2 linked regions of the Astyanax mexicanus genome follow. The protein of the gene in region 1 interacts with the protein of each later gene in a pairwise test. Links are inferred from orthologs where the notes say so. Each region holds a gene or a part of one and is shown on either strand. Other genes may lie near its edges.

Evidence for each region. The genes of interacting proteins can lie anywhere in the genome.
Region 2: the proteins of creb3l1 (region 1) and slc35b4 interact in binary tests that used the Homo sapiens proteins (3 or more experiments, as listed by UniProt). The two-hybrid records come from large-scale screens. The link is inferred for Astyanax mexicanus from reciprocal best matches to the Homo sapiens genes CREB3L1 and SLC35B4.

Annotation. Positions count from the first base shown.
Region 1 is NC_064430.1:14,608,799-14,616,064, forward strand, and holds the start of creb3l1 (cyclic AMP-responsive element-binding protein 3-like protein 1), read left to right. Parts: upstream 1-4,224; 5' UTR 4,225-4,517; coding exon 4,518-4,619; intron 4,620-7,266.
Region 2 is NC_064409.1:59,302,629-59,309,699, forward strand, and holds the start of slc35b4 (UDP-xylose and UDP-N-acetylglucosamine transporter), read right to left. Parts: upstream 3,047-7,071; 5' UTR 2,905-3,046; coding exon 2,828-2,904; intron 2,564-2,827; coding exon 2,450-2,563; intron 1,646-2,449; coding exon 1,543-1,645; intron 1,432-1,542; coding exon 1,382-1,431; intron 1,182-1,381; coding exon 1,100-1,181; intron 312-1,099; coding exon 251-311; intron 46-250; coding exon 1-45. Other genes in the region: golt1bb (golgi transport 1Bb), read left to right, coding at 4,214-4,238, 4,552-4,643, 5,498-5,676, 6,867-6,948. UniProt on the Homo sapiens protein: Antiporter that transports nucleotide sugars across the endoplasmic reticulum (ER) membrane in exchange for another nucleotide sugar.

The DNA.
Region 1 (7,266 bases):
AACTCCTCCAGCTCTGAAGGAGTTTTTTTTGCCTCACTGGGGGTTTTGTATGTTGCATGTTAAATGTTTTGTCTGATTCTCTGTTCTACTACCACATGTCTGTAAAGCTGCTTTGCAACAACATCAGTTGTAAAAAGCACTTTATAAATACATTTAAATTTTCTTAATAACATGAGGGCATCATGTAGAATTTCTCGAATAATGCAAAGAAACAAGTTCATATTCGAAACCACAATGCTACTGTTTTAAGTGTACAGAAATCAATATTTGGTGGAATAACCCTTATTCTTAATCACAGCTTTCATGCTTCTTGGCAAGCTTCTCTTGAGCTTGATTTTTCTGGAGCTGTAACATATACTCCCAAGAGTTATGTATAGTTAATTAATTTGACTAAGAAGATCATTAATATCGCATTAAAACCAACACCATTAATTATTCAGAAAACATTACCACCCACAGTGGACAACACAGTGGGTCATAATGATTGTGACCGGTGGAATCTGGCTAAAACTGTCCGTGCAAACAGACAAGCAACTCGTTTAGTGCAGGAGGCCCAACGTACATATTCCACAGGTCAATGTAACATTCTTTAGCTTCTGTGGGACATGGCAAAACATGGGACACAACACTAGTCCCTGTCCTTTAACTTTTGGCATGTCAGTTTAAGCCCATATATATTTCAGAAAAAAACAAATTAGGACAAATGTAAGCAAAATACAATACCAACCTGGTGCTAGCTTATTTAATTACATTAGTATTGAACCCTTATTGCTTGTGCAACTCTCTAATAGTAGTAGTAGTAGTAGTAGTAGTAGTAGTATTGTTTGTTGTTGCTGCTGCTGCTGTGTTTACACTGTAAATGCAAAACTGGATTAATTTTAAAACCACTCCAGTGAGGGACGCCTGTGGTCTCTGCCTACACTGTTAATGTGTTCAATCAGCCAACACCATGACATTAAGAAATTGAGGTTTACTAACAACATTCTTTCTTCTTCTAGACATCCTAAAAACTTCTGCTGTGGCATCTGGTCATTTCTGCCCTGTTCTCTAACGGCCCAGATTACAGGGACCCAGGCCGCGTTCTGTTACACACCAGTATTAACACACGTACAATCCAGGTGTGACCCTGTTACTGCTTTTAAAACCGTGTTAACTGCAACCTTAGCCCAATGCTCACATAACTTCCCACACAATAGGGCATGGGAACGCCTCTCTTAACGGGTATCCTCTGACATATTTCCTCATTATTACAGTTCTGTAGTGCAATTCGACCGTAATAGGGTTTTAACCTCTTGGGGGGGCTGAAATAGGCCCTGATTGCAGGGGCTGTGAGGTTGATTGCGAGTACTGAATCAACCGATTCAGTACGCTTATCAAATTCCTGGCCCACCACTATAAATGGATGGAGAGATGAGTCATCCTTTCACTGACTGAATCAGGAATCATTGGAACATCCTGAGAGAGGCGTCGGACAGCAGCTCCGCGATGGTTTCAGTGTAGAAGCTGCGAGCAGATATGTGATATGAGGAAACACACTGGTGCCTTTATTATTTAGTTACTACTGTTACTCTCTTTTTTTCTCTCACTCTCTCTTTCTAGTATCATCCCTAAATAAAAAAAACAGCATCCATGAGTTACATAACTACGTAACAAAGCAGGGATGGATTACAAGACTTATTATGCCACCTGGCAGTATAAATTAGGATTTGTAATTACCCAAATTATTTTACAATTTTACTGCAAGTTGACACCATCTAGGATATGACTGGATATGAATTGGAACTGATGCATGGTTGGTACCGTCGCAATTGCTAAAGCCAATCATCATCCCAGAATAAATAAATCCCATAAGAAATAAGTTTGATAGGCCAACTGGGACCCAGATGAATGTCAGTAATGGGACTAGGGCTGCCACGATTAGTCGACTAGTCACGATTATGTCGACTATTAAAATAGTCGACGACTAATTTAATAGTCGATTAGTCGTTTTTTTTTTTCTTTGTTTTTCTCTCCAAACTGCTGCGACTGCCTTTCTGTCCTGGACGCACATGCGCAGTAGTGGAAACCGGGGTAGGTAGTGGACGACATCTCAGGACATTATACAGACAGGCTCTGGTTTCATGGCTACCCCGCTACAGAACTCAAAAGTGTGGGATCACCAAGAAAATAAAAGTGAAACGCGTGCAATGCAATATCTGCAATGAAGAACTTGCCTTCCTCGGCAGCACAACCGCGATGCACGAGCACCTGAAAAGGAGGCATGTTGTGGCTGATTAAATGACGAAGAAGCTAAATTGCTATTTAGCTGCTAAAATTAGCGTAAACAGAGCGTTAACTTAGTACTTAACTTACTCATCTTGATAGCTTTAAAACAGAGGTCACTTATAGGCGGACCGCGATCCGGATCCGGACCCAGACGTTGTCACAAATGCCATCCCAAACCGATAAACTACAGAGAAGGATTTCATTCTGACAGTGGCTTCTGTTTTCAGTGCTTTTCGGTGCAGTAAACTCACAGATCAGTCATGTGTGGTGTAAAATCACCAAACGCTCTCCTCTGCCAATCAGATCTGTGCAGACCGCTGCCCTGTGTACGGTAATGTACACAATATCTGGACAGAGAGGCATTTTTTATTAATATACTTTTTTTTCATAATAGTTCAAACAACCTCACGGTTGAGATGTTTCATAAATGCCAGTGCCTTATCCTTATTTTACACAGTTGTTTACACTTTATGCTAAACAGTAAAATAATTGTCTGTTACAACAAGCTGCATATTTCATTAAAGGTTTAATGAACTATGATTTTAATTGTTTTTATTTTTAGTTAGCATATAGCTGAAATCTAATGTTGGTTGTATAATAGCAGCTGCATTCTATTGCGATAAACTGTGTTTTATATTCAATTAACGTATGATCCGATTAGTCGACTAATCATAAAAAATAATCGGTGATTAGTCGACTATAAAAATAATCGTTTGTGGCAGCCCTAAATGGGACCATGAGGAGTTAAACGTCAGCCCTATCTGGGCTGTACAATACACACAGGACCTAGATGGGACCCATGTGGGATTAAATCAAGGTCCTGTAACATCATATGTACAGTACAAACCCACCTGAAATGCACCTATAGCCCACATTTTACCCATTTGACCCTCACATGAACATATTGGCTGGGATGCTTCCCAAAAATGTGTCTTTGTGAGTACCACAGATACTCATACTCAGTAGAACATTAGCCTCTCACTTTTGTTTACTAGACTAAAGCAACTGAAACCAGAAACCAGCTTTAGGCGACTAAACAGTGCAGAGCACATCATGAACATTCTTTCCTCCCAGTATTGTATTATTAAAAGAAATGAGTGCAAAAGGAAGTAATGCAACAATGAATGAACTGCATTAACCTGTGATTTACTGATATGACCATACATCTTTTGGCCTCAGTAACTATTTCAATGTGTTTGTGTGCATAGGTGTGTACATATACACTTTATAAAAAACAAAACCAATAAACATTTGTACATCAAAATGTGTTCCTTGTTATTAACAAGTGATAATAATAATAGTACTACTACTACTACTAATAATAATAATCTTTGAGTTCAAATGATTAAATCAATAAAAAAGGGGGAAAAGTGGAACTGACTACCCAGGGCCTGAGTAGGGAAAGGGGCCCATGAAAATCCTGATTTTTTTTTTTTTCGTTCACGTTCCTTGTGTACTGACATGGATAGGGGCCCACTGACATTGAGAGTGTACAGGACCCAGAATTTGCTGCTTCACCCCTGTTTATACATATATGTATATATATGTTTAAACAGGGGTGAAGCAGCAAATATATATATATATATATATATATATATATATATATATATATATATATATATATATATATATATATATATATATATATATACAATGACATCCCTAAAAAGGTTAATAAACACATAGATCCACCACAGAAGCAACGGAAACAGTTAGAAAATACATAGTTAGAGTTCATATAAACTTAAGAGGACTTCTAGAGAAAAAAATATTTAAAAAAAGTCCAATATCTAATTGTTTCTATACTTGTATCAAATGTCATGCTTTTATCATAAAGGTCTGGACTTGTGTTCATGGCTCTTTAATTGGGCGTGGCTAGAGCGCCCTAGCGGGCGGGGTGTATTTGAATATTCATGAGAGCACGCTCGCTCCTCCGAGCTGCTGATGAATGAAGACGCAGCTTGAGGAGCGTGTAGCTTTAATCCAAGTCAACGCGATTTCTGCAGAGTGAGAGAAGCAGCCAGCAGCCAGCTGCGGTCACACACACACTCACACACACTCATACACACACACACAGGCTCTCGGATGAAGGCGACAGCACAGGTCAGACTAGCTTAGAGGCGGCTGAGGCTACAGAGAGAAACGCTGCGGCTGTAGTTTCAGATCACATTTCACTCCTAGATTTTGTTGTCTGAGCTGCTACTTGAGATATCTGACATTTTTCCAGAAGATTGAGTCCATTCACCCCCAATATGGACACCATATTGGACAGTTTTGCCTCGGACAAACTTTTCCCCAATTCCAACCTGTTGGACCTGGAGGACCTGAATGAGAGTGATTTCCTTACCAATGTGGTGAGTGGAGATAATTCACTTTCATTAATTCTTCTTTCACTGTTTATCCTGTCATTTCTGCAGGCTAATATAACAGACTATATACTGATGGTGAATTGGATGGTTATGATGGTGTGTTTGTGCTCTGAGGGAAACAGCTGGTGACTATGTGAAACCGGTATGTTCATGATAAAAAGTTGCAGTTTCACAAGAAACCGGTATTTACATGCTAAATCTGACAGTTTGTTTTTCTTTGCAATAGTTTCAGTATCAATGTGTTTATATATACTTAGTATATAACTAAGTATGCGTGCATCTAATCGTTAGTCTCGATTTATTTATATTAAACCCTATGTGACAGTCAGTTTACCAATAAAGTTTAAAGCCCTATGTTTTTTTTCCTTTCAGTGAAAAATCTTAAAAAAATCATTCAACCTGCTGTGTAATCCAAGACTAGGTTTAATCCTGGTTTGGATAACTAACCCCCTACATTAAGTCTGTGTACCAATACCAATACCATAAACACAGGAACTAACCCCCCCAAACACACACACACACACACAGTGTACATATCCTGCGTCACTCCTTACACTTGCGCTTATTCTTGTGTTTATCTGGCGAATTTTGTGCTAACGAAATCTAAACACAGTCAAGACTTTCTCCAGCTGTGAAGTTTGCTCAGCTGTGTGAGCACAAGCAAGCAAGAGCGCAAAGGGGGGCGGGGCGTGGGCTGGGCATGTCTGCCTCTGACACGCCCACATCATACGCCCCCATCCTGCTTCTTGCATCCGGCTGATGATGAGGCTCTCTTTTTCTGTTTAATCAGACAGACAGCAGGTTGCTACTCTCATCTGCGTTGGGGGTCAGAAGTAAAAGACAGTGAACTTTACTTTACTTGACTTTATATCACACTCATGCATAAGTTCCCATTTATGCTCATCATTTATTTTACTTTTACAATGTGAAAGCATTGCTTTAAGTGAATATGCTATATTTGCAATAAAGTTATTAAGCCCTATAATTTCCTTTCAGTGAAAAATCATTAAAACTGCGGTGTAGTCCAAGACTAGGCTTAATCCTGGTTTGGGTAACTGCTCCTATACTAACCCCCTACACTTAGGCTATTTACCAATACCATAAACACAGGAACTAACCCCCTCCCCCCACAGAAGTGAAAGACAGTAAACTTTACTTTACTTGACTTTATCACACTCATGCATGAATTCACATTCATGTTCATCATTTATTTTACTTTTGCAAAGTAAAAGCATTGTTGTATGTGAAAAGACTATACAATCAAGATGTTAAGGTATTAAGAAGTAAGTTAAAATGAAAAAGAACAAAGATAAAATGGTACATCTTCTATGTTTTAGATTCAGTATTATTTCCCCTGTTTTTTTTTTTTTTGAGCTGTTAGTCCTCCTTTAGTTTTAAAAATCTCATATAAAGAAGTGCTTGCAAAAAGTTTTTTGGATGAGTGCAATAGAATTCCCAAATATGCATCTGCACAAACATGCCGTGGCCAAAACATTCACTATATATTATGGTATTTTAACGATAACGATACTCATGGCGATAAAACACTGATTAAAAAATATATATTGCAAGAATAAACTACTGCAACAAAATAAAAATTAAATTTTACTATTGCATATAATATGATAGGGCACACCCCTAACTGAGATATTAAAAAATACAAGAATTTTATCAGATTTGTAACAGAAGAATAATCCAGAATGTCATGATACTAATAATGCACTCCAAATATCTTCATATATCCAGGATTAAAGTAAAATAAATGATATTGGACAGATAGAATCTGTCTCTAGTAGATATATAATGGGAAATGAGAACAGTGTGAATTTTTCTTTGGCTAAAAACAGCAAAAAAGTAGTACCCTGATGTGATAATTAGGGTGGGTGATATAGTATGATATTTTAGGGTATAATATTGTTCACGTAATTCAAAAATGTTGGTGATATTATTGCGTACAATACAATATGCACACCCCTTTTGTGACCTTCTCTACAGTTCACATATTTCAAGCTACAGCACAACAACCAATGCATAGTGTTCACCTAGTATTTAACCACTGCCAACCAACAAATATATAATAGCAACACCGTAGCAACCACTTAGCAACACATTTGCAATCATATTGCAACCGCTGCAGTAACAACATCTTGGCAGCCACTTAGCAACTCCTAAGCAACCCACCTCTATACCATAGCAGCACATTGGTAACCAATTAGAAACACCTGAGCAACCAGCCTCTATACCACAACACCACATTAGCAAGAATGTAGCAGTCCCTGATAAGCTAACTCCTATACCATGGCAACACCTCAGCAACTACTAAGCAACATGCGAGCAACACCTTTACATTGAACACCACCTATACTACACTATACTACACCTAAGCAATTGACTCCGATACCATAGCAATACATTGACAAGCACTTTTTTTTTAAACCTGAGTAAAAAAGAGTGTCATCTTCTTCAAAATCATCTATTTCTCTTTCTTTATCTCTCTCTATATCTCGAGGGTATAGAAGGTCTCCATCATTGACCAGGCTGGATGCTATTGTGGTGTCTGGAATGTTAGAAACTGGAGCAGTGCAGGGGAGTCTGGGTTAGTATGAGCAATGGAGAAGTTTAGTGACACCAT
Region 2 (7,071 bases), on another chromosome or scaffold:
CCATTCTTGCCGACATTAGCAGCGCAAATGTCAGCATGCAAATACCTTACATAAATACAGAAAATGTTACAAGCAAAAACATGCAAATGCCATACATAAATAAATAAGTTGTTATTAATAATAATAATAATAATACATCTGTAACAAAAACAATGTCTCTTAATATTTCACTTTTTACATAATTTGATCCTTACATTATGCCTGCATTTCATGATAAATAAAATAATAAAATTCACCGCAAAGTGCTTACCTACAAGCCACTGTAGGAAAGTATAAACTCCGTCCTCTTCTGTAGAACCCTTTTGTGCACTCTGTGTAACGGAATTAAAGTCAACATTTACTTGCCATAATATAATTAACTTGTTTTTTTTTTGTTTTTTTAAACATATTTTTGAATGAAACATGCTAAGGAAGTGCAAGCTAAGTTAGCTCATTTTTGTTTATTGATAGGTGGAGTTTGTGCCAGGGAGAGGTAAAACATTATATTATTAAATATAAACATGTGATTTCTATTATAATTAAAATGTAAAACTTCATAAAAAAAACAGAAGACAATTTAGACACAGCAAAATTTAAACTACACTTATTTAAAGACAACAGAAAAACAAGAACTTTGAACAAGAACTCTTATGAAACAATGCTTCATAAGAGTCATTAACTAAAAATCGAGCAAAGTATTTTAGATTGACTTTACACATAAAAAAAAACAATCTGGTTGTCAAGACAAGGATAAAACAACAGAACAGGTGCAGACATACAAGTTTTTTTTAAGGTAAAGCATCAAAGATATATTGTCACTGTCAAGCAAAAACTGCATTTTCATAATGGCAAATTTACACTTTGAATAAAAGTATTCTTTGAGCATTTCTATTTTTACTGATCCATTCATCATTAAACCATGACTTAAAGGAAGCATAAATATTAAAAGATTTACATTACAATCCAAGAAAAAATAATAAAACAAATCTAGATTTATTGCACAACAGCAACAAAATAAAAAAACAACACTCAAACTACTGTTTAGGGCACCATTTACTTATTTTAGTCACAGTGTAAGAGGAACAGTGTAAAACTGAATGGAAGTGTATGCAATACTCACCACTTGTTTTGCAGACATGATCGTGCAGATAAAAATGCCTATCGATACCAGAACTATGGAAAGGTATTTGCTTGCTGAATACCTTTATTAGAAAGAAATCATTTGATAAGTAATAAAGTACACTGTAATGCATCAAATGGTATAATTACCTACATGTAAAAACGACAGACATAAAAGCATTGCACATATTGTTCCAATAATTAAATTAATGAGATGATTAATAAATAAAGCTGAAACTGGATTAGGTGGGTAAAGAAAATGTATCCAGTATATGTAACCAACCTTTTTTTCAATATGATGATACCCAATATCATGTTGGCTATTAATGAGCCCTGAGAAGGAAGATATTTACATCAATTATAAAATTAATTAATAAACCAGACACATATACCAATTAATTAGATTACTGTCTATAAAAAAGATATGCAAGAGACATGACTCACAGATCTGAAGATCATGTGCAGGGGCATTGCGATGTTGAAGTTCAGGGCGTAGTTGTTGATCACACTTACAGTGAAGAACATGGTCACCATTATCACATAGTTACTGCAAAAGTGAAACAGAGAGTAAATATCTAGCAGACAACTTAACCAAGCTTAAACCAATAAAACCATGTGTTAGGCTGAGTCATTCAAGTCAATCAAAGGATATTTAACAACAATACAGCTCTGATAAGATAATACACTGCGTGGCCAAAAGAAAAAGTGGATCACTACCTGGAGATAACTAAGTAAATGATGTGGGGTTAATGCTGCAGTTGGTCAGGTTTAGGTTCAGCAACAGTATGTGCTGAAAGAATGAGATCAGCTGACTACCTGAATATACTGAATATAGACCTGGTTATTCCATCAATGGATTTTTTTCTTCCCTGATGACACGAGCATATTCCAAGATGACAATGCCAGGATTCAGGGGGCTGGAATTGTGAAAGAGTGGTTCAGAGAGCATGAGATCAGAGTCCAGACCTTAACCTCATTGAGAATCTTTGGGATGTGCTGGAGAAGGATTTGTGCAGCGGTCAGACTCTACCATCATCAATGCTGCAAGATCTTGGTGAAAAATTAATGCAACAGTGGATTGAAATAAATCTTGTGACATTGCAGAAGCTTATTGAAACAATGCCACAGTGGATGCATGCCGCAATTAAAGCTAAAAAAAAAAGCAAAATATTTTTTTGGCCAGGCAGTGTACATAAAGAGAATATAGTGGACTTTTTAAAACAACATTCACTAACTACATGGCAGGATCATTTGTACTACACAGACTAGCTACACAGACTACATGTGCTAGCTATGTGTACAGCAGCTGACATTTACAGAGCTGGCATGCTCTTGCTGATGTGTCTGATACCTGATAGGTATGGCAGGTTTCTTGCGTCCAAAATTCGTTTGGAAGACGAAGCCTTCAAGGGCAATAAAGGCAAACTGGGCGAACGTGACGATGTTTCCACATCCTGGGAATTTCCTGCAGTTTCGAATCACACATGAGTTAAATCGGCTCTTAACATTAAGTCACGTTATTGAGGAACTTCACAGCAAACTTACTAAAACACTTCCATTCAGTACACAGGCCTGTTATAATTAGACACACGCTAAACACTTATTGTAGTCTTTATGGCTGTATTTGGAAGCAAGGTGGTAATTAAGACACTACAGCCTCCACCACAATAATCTCTCAGAGAGCTTCTGCAGCCAACCACAGCTGCAGCTTTAGAGAAGTTACACTTACCTCACCAAAAGTTCCAGAAACACAACATTACTGCAGCACCCAGCAAACACCAAACTCACTGCAAAGGCCGTATTCATCTTTACACACTCCAAACGAGGCTCCCCACCGCGTTACACTGACTGGCTAAACCAAACCGACCCACAGCATATTGATAAATACACTACCAGAGCTTTTCAATGAAACGAGAACTGCTCGCTGAACACGTATCCCGGCTTCATTGTAGTTCAAACATAAGGGAGGGCTGGGTGTTGTAGTCTTTCTCACTGTGCTTTACTATGCATGACCGTCACGCTCGGGAATAAAGAAAACTACATTTCCCACAAAATTAGCGCAAGAGGTGTGTTCCTGCCGCAAGCATGTGATCAGTAAAAAAATTAATATTCATAAAAAGGTTTCTCAATAGTAAAATGAATAATCATATAGCTTATAGTTAAATAGTTAAAATAGTTAAATATATATTAAAATACAATAAACGTAAAACGCAGTAATTTCGCTCTGAAAGACTACATTAATTGTACTCAAAATTAATCAATGTATAAAGGCAATTCAAACACATAGATATATTCTATTAGTAAGAAAATATAAATAATAAAATCTTATTTGTTAAAAAATGTTTTCATTTTTCCTTTTGTCAATAATTAAGTGGCGTAATTAAAAACTGACTGACGATTAAATACCTTCACACGATTAACCTTTACACTGCTGGCTAAAGGGGTGTAACTGAATCAAAATTCAAGAATCAAAATAATAAAAATGTTTAAAGATGTTTAAAAAATAATACAAAGTAAGTTCAATTTGATCAACATATAAAAACTATAATATGAACAGTTATTTGTTTAAGTCAAATTATTTAATTATTGTTTAATATATAGTTAGCTACATATTATCAGTATGAAAATATAATTTGAACCATTATTAATATTTCTAACAAATTGTTTAATTGAACATTTATAATTTTTTTAATCATTGCTTCTTATTAATGTATGACTCCTGGTCTGACTCAGAATTAAATCTGTCTAATCTAAGCAGAATAAATAAGTAAAATATATAATATATATTCTGGTTTGTTTAACACCTTATTTTTTACTTACTGTTTACTTAAAAAAAACATGTGTTTTATTTGTAGTTTCCATAAATTTAGTATTCTTTTTTAAAGAATAAAAAACACTGAATATAAGGTGTTAATATCTTAATAAACATTAAAAAATGAAAAAAAGAAAAGCATCTGTCTGTGAGGCTGAGGGACTTTTATTCTGTCACATCCTCGGCACTGTTGCGTCTGTGCGTGCTTCCGGAAGACGTGGCGATAGCTGAAATCAGTCGGTGCGGCGCTTTCCTCCGCTATCAGCTATCAGTCAGCGCGGAAACAAAGTTCACAGAGTGAAGATGATCTCCCTAACGGACTCCCAGAGTGAGCGAGCCCTTTACTGTCTGTCTGATAGTGAGCGGTGTGGTGTGTGTACATAGCGGCGCAGGGCTGGGAGTGTTCAGGGGGCGGCAGTTTGAATGAATGAGTGGTGATGGCTGGGCCTGCAGCAGCTCCGGGGCTAATTCACACCTCCTCCATATATACAGATACTATAGCTTCTCTCTAATTCAGACAGCTATTCCGACAGTCTCACATAACCTGCTTCTTCAGAGGGGATTCATCAGGTAGTGTGTGCTGATATGTGTGTCTGTGTAGTCCTGATCATGTGCTGAAACCCTTTTCTTTGTCTCTGCAGAGATCGGGATGGGTCTGACGGGCTTCGGCGTGTTCTTCCTCTTCTTTGGGATGATCCTGTTCTTTGATAAAGCTCTGCTGGCCATAGGGAATGTGAGTGCGTGGGTGTTTAGTAGATGTAGCTAGTGATATTTTTTGGGTGTAACTCAAACTTTAGCTAGCTACCACTGTGGCTTTTCACAACCATGCACCTGGAGATCCTGGAGGACCCAGGATCAGTCCTGCACTGTTCTAGTGATTATTATGTTCACAATACTCAACAACTGATCCAGCTAACCATTTAGCTAAGTGGTTCTCAAACTAGGGTACGTGTATCACTGGTGGTATGCAAAGAATTTCAGGGTGGTACACCAGATGCATGTACACAAATATTAATAACTCTAAATAAATCTGAAACATTTTCCTCAAATTGTCACAACACCAGGTTTGTTTTTTATTTACTGCTTAACCTGGTACGCCCTGTATGTAAGCTCACACTTCAGTTCTTTATAGTTTCATAGGCTCTTCAACTGAACCTTGTGGAACTCCACTATTCAAAGTTTATGTATCAGTAATAAAATCAAAATAATTAGCCTAAGGTTCAAGGGGGTGTCATGTAGACTCTGTAGTTAACTATATTTTCTCACATTCCTGTTATCTCACTGCATTTAAAAGAAACAATAATCAACATTTTGCAGAGTGGGTAAAGCTCACACAGTAGCCCCCAGTAGGTGGTACTTTAACATTTTGGTTTAATCATGGGTGGTACATTGCTTTTAAAAGTTTTGAGAACCACTGATTTAGCTTGTTTATCAAGCTGTGTGTTGGAGCAGGAGACCACTAACATGTAGGAATAAATGTCATTTAGGATCAGGGTTGTGTACAAATATATTTCCTATTAAAATTATTATTGTGGATGTTTATTGATATTCTGGAAAAGGCTAAATTTTGTGTGTATGTGTGTTCAGATCTTGTTTGTAGCAGGCCTCTCCTTTGTTATTGGACTGGAACGAACCTTCAGATTCTTTTTCCAGCGGCACAAAATGAAAGCTACAGGTTTCTTCCTGGGTGGCGTGTTTGTGGTGTTGATCGGGTGGCCAATCATCGGCGTGGTCCTGGAGGTTTATGGGTTCTTCCTTCTCTTTAGGTAGGTTTTTTTCAGATCTACCCTGCTGGCTCACTTCTCAAAAATAAACTTTGTCTGGGAGTCTGTGTAGGAGGAGCTGTGCTGATTTCTAAAGCTTATCACAGTAGGATCACTGATCTAAGATCTAGGAATCCTCTTTGATTTACAGTGATTTAATTGGCCAGATCCTAAATTAGAAATTTTGCTCAACAAATGTTTGTGAATATGGGCACATGTGTGTTAAATCAAGGGATGGAACTTGGTTACATCACCAGGAGCAAGCACTTTTGTTTTTGGAAAATCAGAACCACACCCATAGGTACTGATTTGTGTTGTACTGTGTGTGCTGTTCATCCAGTATAATCAGTCCAGCAAATTGGTTTTCAGGAGTCATGAAGGCTTCTCTAACCAATAATGTATTTGATCTACCTCAAATCCTTATAAATGAGTATAAAGCAAATTGTGCACTGACTTACCTTATCCTAAAGTAGTTAGTTAGTTACTTAGTTAGTTACTTAGTTATTTAGTTAGTGTGGAAAGGGAAATTATTTGGAAGCCTCTAAAGCACAGAATGTGACTTCGGGGTTTACTGTTAAGGTCAAGGTAAAATGTTTAATATTTTATGGGTGACAATGTTTTGAATTTAGACAGCTTTAATTATATACTTCTGTGAATAAACATTTTGCCTCTAAAATCACAACCCTTACATTTCTAAATATCCTGAGCATAAAAGGCCAGTCATAAAACATACTTGATATTTTACCATGCTTTGTCACACTTACACCTGATCCACACAGCCATACAGAGAATAGACAGTATGCACAGATTTGCATTGTATTGTGGGAACTGTGTATTTAGGAATAGGAGTTTAGTTGCTAATGCTGCTACCAAACTATAATTCAGTGAATTGTTATAGAAAAGAGTGTTTAAGTGTTTAATTTCAACAAAAGGTAAATTAATGCCAAAAATGAAAAAATAAAAAAATAAAAAATAAAAAATGTACACCAAATCTTAAAACTATACTGTACTGGACTGTATCCACCCCTTTGTCTCTTCTGAATGGAAGAGAGGCTCATGCAACAGACCCACTCATATGACTGGCCTTTTATGCTCAGGACGTTTAGAAATGGTAAGTGTTGTGATTTTAGAGGTTTACATTGTCGTATACTGTATGCAACTGGACTAACACATCCCTGCTTTGTGTTATTCAGGGGCTTTTTCCCAGTCGCGGTCGGCTTTATTAGAAGAATACCAATTCTTGGATCACTGCTCAATCTCCCTGGAATAAGTGGTGTAAGTACTATATCGATATTGTTTACTTGTAGTGAACCATATTGACAAAATCTAAATTTCTTGATTCTAACTTGTATTTGTAGTTTTCTTATAAATGAAGAGATAAAATACAAGTAATAGTAA